4 linked regions of the Arabidopsis thaliana genome follow. The protein of the gene in region 3 interacts with the protein of the main gene of each other region in a pairwise test. Each region holds a gene or a part of one and is shown on either strand. Other genes may lie near its edges. The genes, in order: AT4G30500, CRK10, MLO3 and ERS2.

Region 1 (4,041 bases), on a different chromosome or scaffold from region 3:
GTAAGATTTTAGGATATCTTCATTTTGAAACCATGGTTACATGACAAGTTTTGATAATCTTTTACCTTTCACGTTCTTTTCAGAGCAACGGTATCGGTGATCACTTATAACGGATATTTCCAGGAGTATACGCTAAGTATCAATAACAAGAATGAGTCTCTATGGACACTGGAACGTGAATTCAATCTCTTCTCCATAACCACCGGGTGATGTATACAACCAAATATCAAATATATGAAAGTACTGGGCAACTTTTTTGTATGTAACAATTTTTGTACCTTGGGTTCATTAAGAATATGTTTATAGTCTCATGTTCTTTGGTTATTCGCAAATATAATTAGCTCTTCCGTGCTATTACTGTATCTTAATCTTGATTTGTGTTGAAGAAATGAAATACAAAATGGTTTCCCAACTCTTTCCATCATATCCCACTTACTCCATAGTTACAGTCAAGGCTCTTTAGCTATGAATCAGAATTTTCAAGTCAGGATCATTTGTCGGTCTAATGGCTCACAAGTCATAACATCATCATAATCCAAAGAGCAAAAGTCTTTTATCTTATGAGAATTCACTGTATCCTACTCAAGACTATTAGTCTACTTCATCTTAACACATCCATTAAGTCAAAATAGTGTAAAGACAGGTACATTACAAAGTCAAGAGTATTTACCCATTGATTTGCATTTTGTATGTTTGAAGAAAGATTTGCTAATTGTGTTTGCTAAAGATGAATGTTTAAGACATTCATCGAGATCTTGTCTTAACGACTTGTCCTCTAGAAGCTTTTCTCTCCATCTTCTCCCTCTTTTTGCGAGTCTTCTCATCCTCAACACCTCCCTAAGTTCAGTCATATAGACAAAACACAGTCCATTTTAAATGATCATGTTTTATTTCCCCCTTGTTCAAAGCACTTTGAGAGTATTCAAGACAAAGTGATTACCTCTGAACCATGTGACAATAGTCCCTTAATAAGACCAGAAGCTTTGTATGCTCCAAATGCAGGGATCTAAAATAAAAACAAGCAAAAGTAAATGGTTGCATCATTCCTACAGAGCAAATCTGTTGTTTGCCTTAAAATATGGCAATAAAGAAAATTGAGATGGGTATCATACCACTAAATACGCGTACCAAAACTTTCCAGAGATGATAGATCCGACCTGCACAAAGCAGGTGATGTAGAGTACATCATGCAAATATCTGCAAGGAAGAATAGAGCATCAGGCTTATACTATAGAATCTACCATAAATCCAATCCACCATAAAGATGACGATTATGTAGCAACTGATAAACGATAAAACTCGGAGAAAGCCACAACTAGTAAAACATCACTCATTTCAAACAACTGATAATGAAACAGTCCTCCTACTATTGCTTTTGGTTATGGAAACAGAATCCAACTATACAGAAACACTTGAGACAAAAGCAGGCACTTTCTAGTTGATCAATTTAAAAGACAAATCTTTCCGAACGTACCCACACATTCCAGGAGTGCTCATGTCAAATCCACCATCAAGAAGTTCACCAGCATCACTAACACTAGGCTTTGCCATTTGATGAAGAAGCTTATATGGAATCCCGTAACCTAACGATGTTAACACAAGACCAATCCAATTTTTCCAGGTATGACTTGAATGCGAAATTATAACCCTCACTAGGACATACAAAATCTGCAAACACATATTGCCAAAAACATCAATCCTCGAATTCATCGAAACAAAATCAGCTAAACATTGAAACTTTCGAGACCTAAAGATCAAATTCAACGGATTTTTAGTTCCATATTGATACAAGTAACGTATCTAAACAAATCTAAGCTCAACGGATTAATGTATTGAGAATTTAAGAAATGAGGAACGAGGAAGTTACGTTGCAAAGGATCATAATGAGACGGAGCTTAGCCATGTGTCGAGCGTTCTCATCTTTCCTCTTCTTTGCTCCTTGATTCGCCATGAGTTAAAAGAGAATGATCAAAGAGACGAGGAAGATAGTTTTTTCAGTTTCTGTAATTCTTCTTTTGCTTTGGATCTTCACAAATGGTGTGAGAGAAAACTTTTAGGTGTCTAAGCTTGTTTAATCCAATTATATATTGACACCTGTACCTTTTTGTCGTCCTCTTTTCTCAAATACTTTTTTCACGCAGGAAATGTTTTGTTTGGCTGCGTGTCGTAATTACGCTTTTCCTTGGGTTTAGGACAAAGATTCTTAATTTGGGCTTTCGTCTATCCTTATCAGTTGTTGTTGGAAAACTGAAACAGTTCTATCTAAATGGGCCAGAACAACCTAAAAGGCCCATAAAATCTGACATCTTAAGGCCTATCAACAGAAAACTGCATTATTTCAGTTTTCCAATAACAAGGTCTGTGTGAAAATCACCGGCGCTCGGAGAAGACATCAACATAAAACCTTTTACCGCTGTTCCAAAAACTAAAAAGTATACCATTTCTATGATCAATCGGTAAAACGATATTTATAACGGAACAAGAACAAAAGTAGTGTAAATTTTTTTCCCTGTTTTATGTTGTTCTATAGACAAAAAAAAATGAAGATATCATATCTTGTGGGCCTATATCCAATATTTGAGTGTAGCCCATATTTGGATCAAACATCACGTCTTACACAATGGTTCTCGGATATCCCAATCTGAGTATGGTTTTAGGTCAATTCAACATAGTATTATTTTGTCAACAAGCACCATTATAGCAAAAACAAAGATGTATCAAAGAAAAGTAGCGTTAGGGGTTGGTCAGAAAAAGACATGTTTGCAGTGTAAGAAATGACGTGGACACGTGGAATCATACGCAATGCAACATGTCATCATTAAGGTCCATTGTTCAACTTACCCATTGAGAACAAAACTAGAAAAATTATAGACCGTTGGATCATCTTTAAGGACCATGTCTGATTCACGTATCTCTCTCCCACTTGGAATATGCTTAGCCTATGTATGGGACACATTCGCTAGGTCCACCAGTATCCTGTACGCAAACGCAACATCGAGAAGCTTCCGTTTCCAATATTCTATACTATAATTACAAATGTTAAAAATTGTTTATAAAATTTGTAATTTGACTTGTAGACATCATTAGGGTAAAGATATATCAAGAAATTACTTTTTTCATAGGAATAAAAATAGTCAACTCTCTTAAATAAGGGACAAATACAATCCTCTAATGACCTGGAAAACAACTATGCAATCAACATTAACAAATGTAATTAGAAGTACAACACAATCAATTTTGGTTAAAAAATTGAAAGTATATAAAAATAAAAAAATAAAAAACGTGTCTTAGTTGATAAATAACTCATTAATCACGCCTCTATCTCTCTGTTTTAAGAGTTTAACAGTTAAAGATCTTCTTCTCTATCTTCCTTATTTGACTACATCTCCGTTTATTCTTGGGTCTCTCTCTATCTCTCTTATCCAGATTTATCATCGTCATTACATATAAACATCAAACTTAACTTTTCAATATTCTCATTCACTTTTTCCTCTTGTGCTCTAATTCTTATCCGGATCCGATTTCTCTCATACAAAGATTCTGTTTTTCTTCTTGGGTTATTGTTCTTGCTCTGTTTCCGTATCTCAAAGTTTCAGCTGCTGAATTGAATTTGCATTGATCGTAGATGAGACCAATCATTAGGTTATCATCTCTCAGTAGAATTAGATGGGCTCTAAGGAACAATCAAGAACGTTATTCTTCAACTTTCTACTCCAAAAGCCGCAAACTTTTGATCGGTGTCAATCAAAATCAAGCTCTGCTGAATACAAACACTGATAATTCAAGTTTGTATTCAAGGTCAAGTATCTTTAGAGGCTTATCAGCAGAAGCAGTAGAAGCAGCTGATCCTGCTACTACTAGGGTCACCGTCTCAGGTTTTGTTTCTCTTTGCAAAGAAATTCTATCAATCTCAGAGTTCGTGTTTATTGGTTTGCTGATATTTGTTGAATGATGACAGATGTGAATAGAACAGGTCCTCTTGTTGAGTATGAGAGAAGAATCAGTAATGGTGAACTCATGACTGGTGATATCTGCCAAGTA
Region 2 (5,410 bases), on a different chromosome or scaffold from region 3:
TCTGCTTTACAAATTGACGTGTTGCTTTTTCTCTGCGTTTAAAATTGGTATCATCGAAATAAAGTAACTCAGTTTCTTACAATCAAAGAGATAAGGATTGTGAAGCAGCTAATGAGTCTTCTTATTTTGTCTTTACTTCAGTCTTCTCGTCTTTGATAGTGAATTGCTCATCTAGCTTTCTTAATCTTAGACTTGGTCAATGTTTTGGCTTTTCTCATACTAAACCAATTAATACATAAAATATTTAATTTATTTTCTATTACAATTATCTAGATATTTTTAGCTACACGTGATTGAAACGTGTCTCAAGCTACACCAACGCTCTTCCTCACAAACTGAATTCGTCGTCGATAGTGGTTGCTCTTGCTATCTTGATGTTTACTTCGTCTGATCGTTGAACTGGCCCGCTGCAACATTCTGAGTGTTCCAAGTGATTATTCTAGTTGTGCGTAACACCGTAACAGTAAAAATGAGCTAAGGAAAGCGAGATGCAAGGGAGAACCAACAGAAGCATAAGTTTTTCCTCTGTTATTACTAATGGAAAAAAACTTTCTTTTTCATTTTCTAATTCCTTGTCAGATTTCTCAGCTTCTCTTCTTTTTGTTTTGTGTAAGACTTGGTCGGAGTCTTAGATTACGCTGATGATTAAAAACTACTAAAAAAGAAAAAAAAAAGAATATTACGCAAATGTTCTCGATGCATTGACCAAGTCCTCTTCTGGTTCTGGCTCCATTTTCACATGCAGGCCCATAACCAATTTTAACGAGATTTGTTGCATGAAAAGCCGATTGTTTTTCCTTGGCAGTAACGAAAAAAAATTAGTTACTTTTTAAAAACTAGGGTTTTGAATAATATCATTAAAATCAAATAGAACGAACTAGGGTTTTGGCATCATACACCGCCTCATTCAATTATTAACAAAGCTGAGTCTTCTTCACGGAGAAATCACGGCTGAGCTAGGTCTCATATACCTTGCATCAATATCTTGGGCCTTTACTAGGATCGGAGATACATCAAACATAAAATACTTCTCGGTTTTATTTTCTCTTTCCTTATGTATATGTGAATGCCTTTAAAAATTTTGATTGCCTTTTTTCTCGTTTTGGAATAGTCATGAGAAGCTGAGAACCAAAAAGGAAATATTTCTCACCTTTGCAACTAGCTAGATGGAGCTTATGGATGCAAAATTCGTTTTAAAACACATTGTATTCGGATGATGTCAAAATATTTCACATTCATATAGCAAATTCATGTTTATATATTCCGATATTAACTTTAAATATTAAAACTTATATGCTGTAGATTCATATCCGGGTGAAAACACGAAAGGACTTATGATGGAACCATTATATGGAACGACGTCATGTGGAATATCAAGTTATTTAACTTCTCGCGAGTAAGACTATAAAAAGTAATAGAATAATTAGTAACTAACAATATCAGATAACGATAGGCAGATGATTTGGTAATACTATTTTAGTATCACTACATCACAATAACCATACTAGCATATACGATATACAAATTAATAAATTATCGTGCTTAAAACAAAAACCTATTATCAACCAATAATTTCTTCGCATCAGTGGCGACAATTTTTTCAGCCCCAGAATGATTCTTTGAAGAATAGTCAACAAAGATTCCTAATTTCAACAATTCTGTTCAAGGAAAAGTACGAAACAAATTCTACTGCTAGCTAGTTTCTCTCATGTATATCTAAATTCTATTACTAGTAATTAAGATCTTTGAAATCATGCCAACTGCTACATTTATTTTCTCTTGAAAATCCCAACTACCTTTTTTTTGATCAAAAAAAAAAAAGACTTTAGAGTTCAAAGCTTGAATTTAGAGTTATTATGTTTTAAATTTTGACAGTTTTGATAATTTTCTTCATTTTAAAATGATTTTATATTTTCCGTAATTTTTTTCTATATTTCATATATTAAAAAAATAAGTAATGGATTAGTAGCTAAACACAAGAAGTTGGACAAGACCCGACAATTTAATACGAGACGCGTTGACCTTGACCTTGACTTTTCGTCAGCACAAAACGTTATCTACGGTAGTCACTGAGAGAGAACAAACAATCAAATTTGTTTCATATATCACTCAAAGCTTGATGAGAAGAAACACAGATCAAGAAAGCCCAATTATGTCTTATTACTCCTCTTTCTTCTTCCTTTTCCTCTTCTCCTTTCTCACGAGTTTCAGAGTTTCTGCTCAAGATCCCACTTACGTATACCACACCTGTCAAAATACGGCAAATTACACAAGTAACAGCACTTACAACAACAATCTCAAGACCCTTTTGGCTTCTCTTTCTTCCCGCAACGCTTCCTACTCCACCGGATTCCAAAACGCCACCGTCGGCCAAGCTCCAGACAGAGTCACCGGACTTTTCAACTGCCGTGGAGATGTCTCAACGGAAGTTTGCCGTAGATGCGTCTCCTTTGCCGTCAACGACACCTTAACTCGGTGTCCTAACCAGAAAGAAGCCACACTTTATTACGATGAGTGTGTACTTAGATACTCTAACCAGAATATTCTCTCGACACTAATAACCACCGGTGGAGTTATCTTGGTTAACACCCGGAATGTGACATCTAACCAACTAGACCTGTTAAGTGATTTGGTTTTGCCTACTCTGAACCAAGCCGCCACCGTAGCCTTGAACAGTTCCAAAAAATTCGGTACGAGAAAAAACAATTTTACTGCGTTGCAGAGTTTCTATGGACTGGTTCAGTGCACACCTGATCTCACGAGACAAGACTGTTCGCGTTGTCTCCAACTGGTCATCAATCAAATACCTACTGACAGAATTGGTGCAAGAATTATTAATCCGAGCTGTACTTCAAGATACGAGATCTACGCGTTTTACACCGAATCCGCCGTTCCACCACCACCACCACCACCGTCAATTTCTACTCCTCCAGTTTCAGCTCCTCCGCGATCTGGTCAGAGCTCTGTTTTTTTCCTCTGTTTTTTTTTTTTGCCCTGATTTCTTGAAATTGGCAAAACCAATATAGAGAGTTTTCTTCTATCTGATTTTTAAGCAAATAATCTTTGAAATGCAGGAAAAGATGGGAATTCAAAGGTGTTAGTGATAGCCATTGTTGTGCCTATTATAGTGGCTGTTCTGCTTTTTATAGCTGGTTATTGTTTCCTTACAAGAAGGGCAAGGAAGAGTTATTACACACCATCTGCATTTGCTGGTAAAGATTTCAAGTGATAAACGATCTTTAATGTCAATGCTCAGCTTGTTTTTCCTGCTTCAAAGACTTTCATTGTGTAACAGGAGATGATATCACAACAGCAGACTCACTACAGCTTGATTATAGAACAATTCAAACTGCAACAGATGATTTTGTAGAGAGTAATAAGATTGGTCAAGGTGGATTTGGTGAGGTTTACAAGGTAAATTATAGTTCCCTTGAGCTGTGTTTTTTTTTTCTTGAAATTTTAAGCCAACACTTTTGGATAATGGGATGATGCTGATGAAAACAACAGGGTACTTTATCGGATGGGACTGAAGTTGCGGTGAAGCGACTATCAAAGTCATCAGGACAAGGTGAAGTAGAGTTCAAGAACGAGGTTGTTCTTGTTGCAAAGCTACAACATAGAAATCTGGTTAGACTTCTTGGGTTTTGTCTAGACGGAGAAGAAAGAGTACTGGTCTACGAGTATGTGCCCAACAAAAGTCTTGATTACTTCCTCTTTGGTTAGTTGCATTTAATGCTTTGTTTCAATGATTCTTGATACTTGGGGTTACGAATGTTTAGAGATCTCATTGTGATTTATGGATGTGGACAGACCCTGCAAAGAAAGGCCAGCTGGATTGGACTCGACGATACAAGATTATCGGTGGAGTTGCTCGAGGGATTCTGTATCTTCATCAAGACTCACGACTCACAATCATACACCGTGACCTCAAAGCCAGTAACATTCTCTTGGACGCGGATATGAATCCTAAAATTGCAGATTTTGGAATGGCTAGGATCTTTGGATTGGACCAAACCGAAGAGAACACAAGCAGAATAGTTGGTACCTAGTAAGTCTTCCTCATAACTTCTCATAAGTTGAAGTTTTCTGAACATTCTTTTGTTAACATAGTTTTTGTTGTGGGTTTATAAGTTGAAGTTTTCTGAACATCCTTTGGTTAACATAGTTTTTGTTGTGGGTTACAGTGGTTACATGTCTCCCGAGTATGCAATGCATGGTCAGTACTCAATGAAATCTGATGTCTATAGCTTCGGAGTGTTAGTTCTTGAGATTATAAGTGGCAAGAAGAATAGCAGCTTCTACCAAACAGATGGTGCACATGACTTGGTCTCATATGTAAGTTTTAAACCTATCAAGTTCCATATTTACCTGAACATAGTTGCAAGTGTTGATTGATTGAATAATATTCTAGGCTTGGGGGCTTTGGAGTAACGGGCGACCATTAGAACTCGTGGATCCAGCTATTGTAGAAAATTGCCAAAGGAATGAAGTTGTTCGATGTGTCCATATCGGTCTTTTATGTGTTCAAGAAGATCCTGCTGAGCGTCCGACGTTGTCAACCATTGTTCTGATGCTCACTAGTAACACTGTGACTTTACCCGTGCCACGGCAACCCGGTCTTTTCTTTCAGAGTAGAATTGGAAAAGACCCGCTTGATACAGATACAACGAGCAAATCTCTTCTAGGGTCTGTTGACGATGCATCCATCACAGATATACATCCTCGATGATGATGAGTTTTTCCCTTCATACCTGATTCCTGAATCTATTGGTGTTGAAAATAAGTTAAAAACTTCTTTTGTTATAGAATGTTTGTATTGTAATTGTAACCACAAGCAAGTATAAGATATATACCATTTACACGTTTCTCCATGAAGACGTAACAGTGACTTTTCCCTCCAAATTAAGCTTACACAACGATCTAGCAGGTAATTTGATTCAGCATGAAGAGAGTAAAACCAGTAATCGAGAAACGATTCTTAAAGAACTGTGAACTGTTCATAAGCATTTTACAGTGGACACTGTACAACATACAATTACAGATAAACCTGCTATGTTTCTTATGTCCGTGGACAAATAATATAAATGTCATCTGACCATTTTTCTGTTACAACTTTTAAGCTATGATGAGGAACCACATCAATTTTTACGAACTAAATGAGGAAGACTTGCTTGTATACTGATCAGACTCTGATCCTTCAGATACCAGTTTCAGTTGCCTGCTTCGTGGGAAAAATCCCGGTAGGCGAGGCACTGGTAGAGTAATTGTGTTACTAGTCAGCATTAAGATGATTGTTGATAACATTGGACGGTCTTCTGGATTTTCTTGAACACATAACAGCGCGATATGGATGCACCTAGTGACTTCATTACTCTGATAATTCCTTCCAAAAGTTGGATCCACCAGCTCT
Region 3 (6,052 bases):
TCTTGTCTTTCTAATGGTTACCAGCAAAGCAAACCTCCGAAGGGATCATAACTACACATATTGATCACCTAGTTACCTTTCCTTTAAGACTAAAAGATTTGGTTTGATGTTGCAGGCGATACAATGTTTAGGCGGAAATGGATACATAAACGAATATGCAACAGGACGCCTTCTAAGAGATGCAAAGCTATATGAAATCGGTGCAGGGACAAGCGAGATCAGAAGGATTGTCATCGGTCGCGAGCTTTTCAAAGAAGAATAGAGATAAGTCTGTTTTCTGCATTGCCAATGCGACATTTTCATTCTGTACACGTATATATAATTCACAGTGTCCTTAATAACCTCACAATAAGAAAAATAGCTTCAAGCAATCCTCTAGAAACCATATCAATTATTAGTCACATTATGTGTGACATGTTATCACGATACCAGCATGCCAATCTAACACTGACACTTCTGGTTAAACTTACTATTTTGTCATTTGATTCGTCAATAATTAGTAAAGGCAACTCTAAAAAGTTCTTAACAATAATACCAACAATCTCTTTCTCATTTTCCATCAATCTGATCACCTTTCAGTTTTCTCTTGTATCTGTATCTCTTGTAAAATCGGCGATTGTCTACCCGAAAATCTAAACTCAGAAGCAACTTCTGTCTGAACCGGACTTTCTCCAGAATCAATATCACCATTGTTATTGTTACTGTTGTTGTCGGTGTCTGGCGTTTGGATAGTCTTTTTCTTGTCTCTAACCATCCCTTGCCAGTGCCTTAACACATTTGCTAGTTGTTCTTCTAAGATTGCTCTCTTGTAGCTTGACCCCATCTAAACACATATATATATGCATCCAAATCAAATTCAGATCACTAGGTTACACTAACAGTAATAATTTATATACTAATGCAAAACGATTTAATTTAAAAATGGTGTTATATATATTGGACTAAATTACCTGAGTTACAATGGCATAAAGAGGCAATGTAATGTAGCTGCTCAAGAACTGGACTGTCACCCTATAAATCATAATATCCTTAATATTAACGATATGATTTTTAATACAAAAATATAATTTCGAAAATGTAAATAATTTGTGGGATAAAATAAATAAATTGTAGTGCTTACGCTAATACAAGTCGTGTGATTATGATCCCTTGGTTATCATGGTAGCAAGAGTTAATCCCAAATTGCCACTAATTTCATAATTAAAATTATAGATACATCACATATAACAATTTCCTATATTATTTTTCCCTTTCTTATAAATCCAAATATTAAAATCCCTATAAGAAATTAGAACTTACAGTGATCCACACAATAAATGCCATCTCGAAGGTGTTCTGTATTAGAAAAATTAATGTTGGCATTATGATGAAGCATTAGGAAAAACGACATGTAGTTTATAAAAGATTACCAGAAACAGCGTGTAGTGTAGAATGCTTAAGAGAAAACGAGGATTGGAAAACCAGAAATGCGTGTCGTTTGACTCAACGAGAGGGGTTCCTCTAATTACACTGTTATTCTCCTTAATTGTGACCGCCATTTTCGCTACTATCATCTCTAGTTTCGTCCCGATCACTAAAACTATCTACGTAACAATATTAGTTCGTCAATAATTTGAGTTACACATATAGTTAATTAGTCTTAACTAGATTAAATTAGCTCTTACAATGAGTGGCACAAATGACATATAAAAATATACTCTCCAACCTGATGATTAAGAAAAAAAGAAGAAGATAAGATAAAAACGAGTAATCACTAATAATTATTTTAATTTAACTATTTAAGCTAACAAATATATAAATTAAGTTACCAGAAACGTCGAGGAGCATAAAGATGACCACAGTTAGCCACATTAAAGGACTGTAACAAAATTAAAAAGTTTATTTGATTTAACTTTGTTACTTAAGATTCATGTAAAATACACAAATATGACTACCTTATACCAACCACAGTTTTAAAATCTTCATGTAAAGATCTCTGTATATAGTTTTGGAAGTTGAAAGCATTATTTGACGATACATGAGCCTGCATCAATAATCAAAATAACACATTAAATTTAAAATTTATTTATTTTTAAATAATTATTCATTGACAAAAAATGAGGTACTAACAAAGATGAACCCATGCCGAAGTGTGAGGTAATCTACTTTCGCCACTGAGTTGTAAAATTGCCTGAAGAAACATTTCTAAGAAGAAAAAAACTTAATTATTAATATAGTTAAACCTATATATTTGAGATAAATGTTAATTAACAAATTAATTAAAGATTAATAATAGGTACGAACTTACAATCCAAAGTTGAAATGATGTTTCAGTCCATGAACTCAGGTGTCGTCGAGCAAATGTTGTATCTCTTGTTATTCTAAACCTATTCGGATCTTTAAATTTTCATAAAATATTAATTAACTTATCGACTAAGAAATAATTGACATTGCATGTAATTTCGTAGTAGAAAAATACAAAAATCTTACCGTTTGCTGCTAGATACTCCACTGTTTGGGTCTCTTTCTCCCACGAATTCCATTTTCTCATCTATATGTATTACGTACACAAAAAACTTTGTATGTAAACAATAGTAAAAAACCATGTCACAAATTATTGAAGTCTTTATTAAACAATTGTAATGTTATAATATTTGATTGCATAGTGTATATATGTAGTACCTTGGCCATTCCAAGGAGAAGAATAGCAAGATTGCAGAGAATATGCATGCATGCCAACACAAAGAAGAAGTAACTCAACTGAGTCAACCCTTCTTCTGATATTAGTGAAGTCTTACCCTGCAAATTTTATTTTATTAAATCGGATTAGTTACTTCGAAATAAAATTTACTTTAGTAAGCAAAGAAAAAGTCATACTCTTGATATTTTGTTCATAACTCAACAATTTTTTTTTTGTTTTCTTTTTTATTTGGACGTAATTTTCTTGATTAGTGGACTCTAGCTAACGACAATGTCCAAGACTCCAAGTCAACGTCAAAGTAAACTAGTTGACATTTTTGGATTTTGCGGTCCTCTCTCCCTCCATCTTGGATTTCAAGAAGATATCTTAAAACTTTTGGATTCAGAAGTTTCATAAGTTAAGCATATAAAAATGTATATGATTAAATCTCTTATTTAAATAATCATATTGTAGAATAGTAAGCAATAAAAGGTTATGAAAACTGGAAAATCATTTAACGAAAATTCATAAATCAAAAACTAAATTGTGTGATTGATTAAGAAAACAAAATTGCTGCATAATTTCTATCTACAGTTTCACTGGTCATCAAAACTTTTGTTTTTCTAAGTTAAAACCTTTGTATACTACTTTTATACATTATATATATGTCCACCTTGGATTTAAAGATAAATGAAAATAAAACTGTAAAATGATTTTAATTAAAGATCAAAGGGTCAAAAAGAACCTTGGAAGAGCATTGATGAAAGAAGCTGTTGTCATGATTATCACCATCATCATCATCATCATCTTCACTAACATCATTATGTGATTTTATGGTTTTACGGCATGGCAACATTCGATTGGCATACTTTATAGGAATGCATATCTTCGAAACTTCTCCTTCAGTTACATTTAGCATTAGTGACATGAATCCTAGCACCATTAGAACTGCCCTTACAGAACATTAAAAATTCAGAGATTAATAAAATTGGAAGAGATATTTCAATTGATTTTCATATCCAAAAATTTAGGATTTTTTTTTACTATAAGATGTTTGAGCTTTTTAAATTAAACAAAGATTGATGACCAATGAACTTTTCTACGAATGGGACAGTTTTTTACCTGATTTGAGCTTCTCTACAGCTTCAAGTAGCGACGTTTTTCTATTTTTCTTAAGTCTCTGCAAGAAAAGAGACAATATATATATAATACAGTTTTGTCTTGAACTTTCGACTCGCTTTTTATTTTTTGTTGAAATTTCAACTCATGTTATCTAGCTGATATTTTTCGAAAATGGTTAAAATATTAAAATACATTTTTATTAACATACATATTTACTACTTCACCTATATATCTAATTTAATAAAATATAAATATATCCAATTTAAATTCTTGCAAGTGTAAACCAAACTCTACTTTTCCAAGAACAAAAAATTTATAAAAAAAACTTAAAGAGATTAGTCAAAATTTAAACAGTGTATAGAAGAAAGTATATATGATCCTATAATATACATATTTGTACTTACAGTGGATAGAAGATTGATGAGACGCTCGAGGCAAATGGAAACAGCGATGAAGAAGAAACAAACGGTGGCCAGAGCCCAAGTGGGAGTTTCTTGGAGGGATCGGACGGCGCCAACCTCCGAGGAGTGGTTGCTTTCTTCTTTATCCGTCATCTCTTTATATTTTTCCCGGTGACTGATTTGTTTAGTTGAGAAGATGAAGAATTAGATATGTGGTGGAAAATATAACTATATATCTATTAATATTGTCGCAATCATTGTTGTGTTGCAATCAAGAACTTGTCAAAGTTTCTAGTAAACACTGACGTTTAAGCTTTAAATGTGACATTAAATCCCAAGTCCCACTTCATACGTACTGCCCTGTCTTGACTTGGTAAGACTTAATATTATTCTTGGGTAAACTTGATAAGTAAATTAAAATAAAAAAATTTTAGTTAGTAAACTAAAAATGGATTGGAGTATTGGACGGTGAAAACCGACAATGTAAAGAAAGGATAAAACAGTTTCTAATTTTCTGCAATTATAGTCGATTTTACTAGTTAACTTTTAACTTTTAATTTAGTGGGTATATTATTTATTAAATGGAAATTAGAGTTATAAATTATAAGTTTTTGAGTTTGATTTTGTTAGACGTTCATTTGATAGTTCAGAAAACAAAATAGCACGTTACAAATATAAGTTCATTTTAATGTTTCTAGTAAAAACTAAATGAGAATAAAAACAAAATTAAGGAATATACTATGTAATGAAAATTTCTTATTTGTTGCCCTTTTTGTGTATATTATGAAAATTTCACCGTGGCCGTGAGAAGGGGTTACACATGTAAAAAAAAAAACTATGTAATGAACCCAAATCATATTATTGATATTTTCTTAATTTCATCAATAAATATTGCGATCTACCAAATTCACCTTCTTTTTCGGTTTAACAACCACATCAATATATAATTTTTAATACAAGAACGGAAATGACAATAAAAAAAATGATTACTTACTTCACAACATGATAACAAAACAAAACCAATATGACATCGTAAAATATTCTGGATGAACATTTGAACAAACATAATTATACGTACATTTTCTTAAGCTTATATATATATATAGAGATAAAAATAATGAACTTATATAGTTTTCAAAATTGTTGGAAAAAAAATGGAGGGTTCTAAGTCTAAGGTTTTTATTGTGCTTGATTAATTTAAAAAAAAAAACAAGAAACTAAAGCTAGAAATTAGGATTTAAATCATATCCAAATGGCCAAATTAAATGATGAGAACATTTTAGAGAGAAATCCCAACCACGTCTGATTTTATCATCCGAGCAATTCAGGATCCTTTTTTCTCGACTAAGCTCAGATCATCTTTGTTGTATTTGTTTGATGGCTGGTTTCCAGTTTCTTCGTCGAAACCATGTCTAGTGAATATCATTTTTTTGTTCTCTAGCTTTCTTCTCTTTTGTTTTGTTTTGTTTCCGTTTTTCTTTTACAATCTCATTGGTTTTCTCTAGTGATTGCAAAAACGTTGGAATCATAACAAAGAATCCTTTCAAATCTATCCGTACAACAGCCGCCCCACTGAGCACACTATAACACAAACTAAAAAAGATCTGATATATCGATGTTTGTATTATGTTGCAAATTAAACCAAGTTCCGACCCACTCAAGAATTAGAGCTTTAACAATCACGGGTGAAACGTATTTTTACACAAAACAAACATAAATTAAAATAAAATAAAAACATTAATTACATGTTTTATTATATACAGACAAATATTAAATATCAATAATTTTATCAAATAATTTATTTTAATCGTTTCATCCCACACTAGATGCGAGTTCTTATCTAGTTATAAGTTTATAACATAATCGTCGA
Region 4 (5,575 bases), on a different chromosome or scaffold from region 3:
GAAACGTACTCTCGATAACAGTTCATATTCAAGACTCAAGAGAATCTCGTATATTCTAAGGAAGACGTACCTAAACAGAAAGTTGGTCCCAAAAAACGAGAGAAGGAATGAAAGATCAAGGATACATGTTTTATATACATGAAAAATACTAAATTTTAAAAGAAGTATTAAACGTTTTTATAATGTCACCGGAAAGAAGATGTAAATGTATTGATCAAATCATCTGACTATAAAAGTAATTCAAATCACCATTTTTTTAAATCAATTTGAATATTTGATGAATTTCCGTATATAAACAATCAGTCCCGCTCTTGCTGTATAAATGAAACGTCTATCAAACATTAGCTAGTCTTGTACTGGATTGCCTTTACAGACAAAAGATTATACTGTATATGTATGTGGTCTCATGCAAAAAAAGTAAAAATGATTCTGTGTACATCTGTTTTGATTTGCATATATATTGGCTTAAGTGGCAAAGGTGCATGCACTATTTCTATTTCTTTGATAAAAGTTTTATGATGCATGCATTCTTACCAGTGATTTCTTTAAAAGGAGAAGACATTTGTTTTGTAATAGTGACGAGAATGTAGACAGAAAAGGAAAGGAATCAGCACGTGTTCATCGCTCGACACGTGGCCAATAATAGCATTGGATTCAGAAAAAAAGAAAAAGAAAAAAGCGAAAAAACCTGTATAACAGGAAAAAAATACAATCTGCACCAGCCGGGAATCGAACCCGGGTCTGTACCGTGGCAGGGTACTATTCTACCACTAGACCACTGGTTATTTATTTAAAAGATTTATATTGGTATAAAACCTTGACCATAAAATGTTCCTAGTGCATCCACTAAGATCAAATTCATATTAATAAACAAAAACATAAAATTCAAACCGATATAGCAAGATTGCTGTTAGTTTTGTCTTCTAAATCTGATAAGTGTTCGTTATTGTCGAGGTTATGTAGCTAGTTTATATATTACTTGTACTAAATTTCAATAGGGCAATCAAAATATACGGATTTTCATGTGTATATATTTTTCTAAATTTGCGGTTTACAAAGAAAAGTTAGTGGTTGATCATATTGATTTCTTGAAAGGGAAATATTACCAATAAAATGATAAAATTGCCAAGAAAAATTAGTAGTACGATCGATAATTTAGTGATATTGGGATCCAAAGAGATGATCATGCACTTAGTTAAGACTCCATTTTCTGATAAGAGTTAAGTGGCGGTAGACCCACAAAGAAATTTGATTCGGTATTGTTATTATTGAGTAGAAAAACAAAGATGGAGTGTTTAACTAAATCATGTCTAATAAGTAGCAAGGTAGGTCAATATAACGTTTTACAAACGAAAAATAGCATTGCATATTTAATTATCTACCAAATATCTTAAGTCAGTCGAATAAACTAACTCATTATGTTATCAAATCAGCCGCAAATTGTGCCGTTTAAGTCAATACTATTTTTAACTTAGATATTTAGTGAGTAGACTTCATACTTGCATAGTCTAGTAGTTATCATTGTTTAATGCAATTTTTTGGTTTTAATGTAAACTTATACTACTATTTGGTCATGTAATCTCACTTTCTAAAAAACCAATGTAATCATCCATAATAGAAATAAAACATTTATTTAATATAATTAACTAATTTTTAAACATTAAAAAGAATAGATTTATTTTTATACATAAAATAATAGAAATATAAATATATATATATATTATTATAGGTTGTTTATTGTAATCCAAAAGCAGAATAAAATTTGGGATAGGTATTAAGAGTCATAAATCTTGAAAATAGAGTCATTAATTAATAAAGCTGAAAAGGAAAGATTAAAAAAAGAAGAAGAATCCTCTAAAATTGAATTTGGTAAGAGTCCACGTAGGTCAAGAAGAAGAAGAAGAAGATGTCGTGCTCGTGTTGTGTTCCAAACGAAAAGCGTCTATGTTCTCTTCATGTACCGTTTCTGGGTCCCACCCCCCTTTCCTTCTTCACTCTCCCCCCAATTCCTCCCTCTCTCTCTCTCTCTCTCTCTCTCTCTCACCAAAACGTAAATCTACTCTCTCTATCGCAGCAGACACAGAAAAAGAGAGAGCGAGAGACTCTGCTCACACACATATTTACTTCCCTAACTTGTCTCTCTCTCTACACATTCTGGTGAGTTTCGTAAGATTCAACAATCGTTTAGACTTCTTCTTCTTCTTCTTCTACAGCTTTTACGTTTTCTGGAAAAGAGATTTTTGGCTGATCACTACGTTGCAGGTATATGATTTCTCAAATGTGAGATGGGTTTGATGTTCCTTTTCGCTATTTCTCATCTGATTTTGAATTTTCTGCGGATTTTGTGAGGAATCGGTAGATTTTGATGTTTGTTCTTGTGGGTGGTTCATAACTTCATACATTTAGGGGATTAAAAGAAAATTAATTTACAAATTCGGTCCTTGTTGTGAAAAAGATTTATAATCTAAAAGACATTAACTTTACTCTCTCCTTGAACAAGTTTTGAATTTTGAATCTTTTTCTGATTTTGATTTTCACTATGTTCATAGGTAATTGCACAATTCTGGGTATACAAAATCCAAACGTTACGCATATTGAATTGAAAAATCTCGATTTTGAGTTCTGGGTATGAATAAAAATCTCACCTTTTTAATTAATTCTTACTCAGGGAAACAGTAATCGATGTTAAAGACATTGTTAGTCCAATGGCTTGTCTTCTTCTTCTTCTTCTTAATCGGTTCCGTCGTCACCGCCGCAGAAGACGACGGTAGCTTGTCGTTATGCAACTGCGACGACGAAGACAGTCTCTTTAGCTACGAGACAATCCTCAACTCGCAAAAAGTCGGCGACTTTCTTATCGCAATCGCTTATTTCTCGATCCCAATCGAGCTGGTTTACTTCGTGAGCCGCACCAATGTGCCTTCACCTTACAATTGGGTGGTCTGCGAGTTTATAGCCTTCATTGTTCTCTGCGGCATGACCCATTTGCTCGCTGGTTTCACCTACGGGCCTCACTGGCCTTGGGTCATGACAGCTGTCACTGTCTTCAAGATGCTGACTGGTATCGTCTCTTTCCTCACGGCACTCTCGTTAGTCACTCTCTTACCATTGCTTCTTAAGGCTAAGGTTCGTGAGTTTATGTTGAGTAAGAAGACCAGAGAGCTTGATCGTGAGGTTGGGATCATTATGAAGCAGACTGAGACGAGTTTGCATGTTCGTATGCTCACTACCAAGATTAGGACGTCTCTTGATCGACACACCATTCTATACACTACGCTTGTGGAGTTGTCCAAGACTCTGGGGCTCAAGAACTGTGCGGTTTGGATCCCGAATGAGATCAAGACGGAGATGAATCTTACTCATGAGTTAAGACCGAGGATTGATGATGAGAATGAGAATGAGCATTTTGGTGGTTATGCTGGGTTCTCGATACCGATTAGTGAGTCTGATGTTGTGAGGATTAAGAGAAGCGAAGAGGTGAATATGTTGAGCCCTGGTTCTGTGCTTGCCTCAGTGACTAGCCGAGGGAAGTCAGGTCCTACGGTTGGGATAAGAGTCCCTATGCTTCGGGTTTGTAACTTTAAAGGCGGGACACCAGAGGCGATTCACATGTGTTATGCGATATTGGTGTGTGTGCTTCCATTGAGACAGCCGCAGGCTTGGACTTATCAAGAGCTTGAGATTGTTAAGGTGGTGGCTGATCAAGTGGCGGTTGCAATCTCTCACGCCGTGATTCTTGAAGAATCTCAGCTTATGAGAGAGAAACTCGCTGAACAGAACCGAGCGCTTCAGGTTGCGAGGGAGAACGCACTGAGAGCTAATCAAGCCAAGGCTGCGTTCGAGCAGATGATGAGCGATGCAATGAGGTGTCCTGTGCGGTCCATTCTCGGGTTGCTTCCTTTGATACTTCAGGATGGGAAGTTACCCGAGAACCAGACTGTTATCGTTGATGCAATGAGGAGAACCAGCGAGTTACTTGTACAGCTTGTAAACAATGCCGGAGATATAAACAATGGGACAATCCGCGCTGCAGAGACTCATTATTTCAGTTTGCATTCGGTTGTGAAAGAGTCAGCTTGCGTGGCGAGGTGTTTATGCATGGCAAATGGTTTTGGTTTCTCAGCTGAAGTTTATAGAGCATTGCCTGACTACGTCGTAGGTGATGATAGAAAGGTCTTTCAAGCGATTTTGCATATGCTTGGGGTTCTAATGAATCGAAAGATCAAAGGGAATGTGACTTTCTGGGTTTTTCCGGAAAGCGGGAACTCAGACGTATCAGAGAGGAAAGATATTCAAGAAGCGGTTTGGCGACATTGCTATTCGAAAGAATACATGGAAGTTAGATTCGGATTCGAGGTAACTGCTGAAGGTGAAGAGAGTAGTAGTAGTAGTAGTGGTAGTAACCTGGAGGAGGAGGAAGAGAATCCGAGTCTCAACGCTTGCCAAAACATTGTAAAGGTTGGTCATTTGTGTTTTGTATGTAAATGTGCTAATGACTTGGTTTAACACTTTTATCTTGTTTTGTGACAGTATATGCAAGGGAATATTCGGGTTGTTGAGGACGGTCTAGGTTTGGTGAAAAGCGTCTCAGTTGTTTTCCGGTTTCAACTCCGGCGATCGATGATGTCGAGAGGCGGTGGATATTCTGGAGAAACGTTTAGAACCTCAACTCCTCCGTCTACTAGCCACTGATCATTGACGTCAGGAAGGGGGGGAGGGGAATGTAGTGCAAAAGAAAGATTTAAGGGGTGGAATCTGAGAATTTGTAAAAACAGTAGGGGCTTTAATGAGATTAACAGAGAGAGTACTAAAACGTTGTCGTTCGGTTGTAAAAACCTGAAAGTTAACTAGGTTTTAACCTATCGTGTAGGCAAAAGGTATGATGCAGACTTGTTGTAACTTGCTGGTGATAACAGAATTCAAAGTAAAAAAATGTGTCGGAGGATGTTCCTTACGGATTTGTGATTTACAAGCCTACCAACTCCTTTGTCAAATATTGTGACGTTTTAGATGAAGCTTATAAATTTATTGATTTCTGATCCAGAAACCGTATACAACTTGTATCCACAATATGTATCCAGGTACATATTAACTTCGACCTTTTAATTAACTTTTGTTTTTAAAAGGTTTATGTGATTTTTTTTTTTTAACATTGAGGTGATTCGTGCGACCTCTCTTTCTCTCTATTTATCTCTCTTTCTTTTCCTCCGTCGTCTTTTTTGGTTTGTTCTCTCTCTGTAGAATCTCATAGGAGCTGCCATTAGCCCATTCAACGAATTAGCTTCTCTTTGCTCTTTCTTCCACCATCTCAGGTTCGCTTCGATCTACAACCAATAAGCTTCTTCTATATCTCCTCCTTTGTTCTTCGGATTTTGCGAGGCTTTATGTTCCGATTACAGTCTTTCATTTTGATACCACACCGATTTTGATTTTCCCCGATCGTTGATTTCATCTGGGCTTTGTTTTGTTTTCCGATGTCTTTGATGAAATTATGAGGTTTCTCTGGATATTTTAGCTGATTGAAATGATATATTGCTTCGCCGCCCTCTAATTTTTCGGCTGATTTTTTTTTGTT

What was found.
Region 1: the proteins of MLO3 (region 3) and AT4G30500 interact in a protein complementation assay, tested with the Arabidopsis thaliana proteins (one large-scale study listed by BioGRID).
Region 2: the proteins of MLO3 (region 3) and CRK10 interact in a protein complementation assay, tested with the Arabidopsis thaliana proteins (one large-scale study listed by BioGRID).
Region 4: the proteins of MLO3 (region 3) and ERS2 interact in a protein complementation assay, tested with the Arabidopsis thaliana proteins (one large-scale study listed by BioGRID).

The regions. Positions count from the first base shown.
Region 1 is NC_003075.7:14,901,468-14,905,508, reverse strand, and holds AT4G30500 (transmembrane protein (DUF788)), read right to left. Parts: upstream 2,159-4,041; 5' UTR 1,952-2,158; coding exon 1,868-1,951; intron 1,669-1,867; coding exon 1,475-1,668; intron 1,198-1,474; coding exon 1,113-1,197; intron 1,007-1,112; coding exon 941-1,006; intron 838-940; coding exon 745-837; 3' UTR 501-744; downstream 1-500. Other genes in the region: ATG18B (autophagy 18 B-like protein), read left to right, coding at 84-210; AT4G30490 (AFG1-like ATPase family protein), read left to right, coding at 3,626-3,875, 3,959-4,038.
Region 2 is NC_003075.7:12,136,052-12,141,461, forward strand, and holds CRK10 (cysteine-rich RLK (RECEPTOR-like protein kinase) 10), read left to right. Parts: upstream 1-1,943; 5' UTR 1,944-2,119; coding exon 2,120-2,954; intron 2,955-3,074; coding exon 3,075-3,212; intron 3,213-3,295; coding exon 3,296-3,414; intron 3,415-3,507; coding exon 3,508-3,718; intron 3,719-3,810; coding exon 3,811-4,048; coding exon of another isoform or gene 4,049-4,049; exon of another isoform or gene 4,050-4,180; intron 4,181-4,184; coding exon 4,185-4,335; coding exon of another isoform or gene 4,336-4,395; exon of another isoform or gene 4,396-4,411; coding exon 4,412-4,729; 3' UTR 4,730-4,871; downstream 4,872-5,410. Other genes in the region: CRK11 (cysteine-rich RLK (RECEPTOR-like protein kinase) 11), read right to left, coding at 5,146-5,410.
Region 3 is NC_003074.8:16,615,869-16,621,920, reverse strand, and holds MLO3 (Seven transmembrane MLO family protein), read right to left. Parts: upstream 4,524-6,052; 5' UTR 4,336-4,523; coding exon 4,186-4,335; intron 3,840-4,185; coding exon 3,782-3,839; intron 3,608-3,781; coding exon 3,405-3,607; intron 2,779-3,404; coding exon 2,662-2,778; intron 2,531-2,661; coding exon 2,470-2,530; intron 2,377-2,469; coding exon 2,288-2,376; intron 2,185-2,287; coding exon 2,110-2,184; intron 2,024-2,109; coding exon 1,935-2,023; intron 1,859-1,934; coding exon 1,809-1,858; intron 1,706-1,808; coding exon 1,665-1,705; exon of another isoform or gene 1,584-1,664; coding exon 1,410-1,583; exon of another isoform or gene 1,384-1,409; intron 1,336-1,383; coding exon 1,300-1,335; intron 1,189-1,299; coding exon 1,121-1,188; intron 1,012-1,120; coding exon 951-1,011; intron 824-950; coding exon 569-823; 3' UTR 551-568; downstream 1-550. Other genes in the region: IVD (isovaleryl-CoA-dehydrogenase), read left to right, coding at 116-262.
Region 4 is NC_003070.9:1,154,233-1,159,807, reverse strand, and holds ERS2 (ethylene response sensor 2), read left to right. Parts: upstream 1-1,994; 5' UTR 1,995-2,262; intron 2,263-2,668; 5' UTR 2,669-2,682; coding exon 2,683-4,458; intron 4,459-4,530; coding exon 4,531-4,692; 3' UTR 4,693-5,044; downstream 5,045-5,575. UniProt on the Arabidopsis thaliana protein: Ethylene receptor related to bacterial two-component regulators. Acts as a redundant negative regulator of ethylene signaling.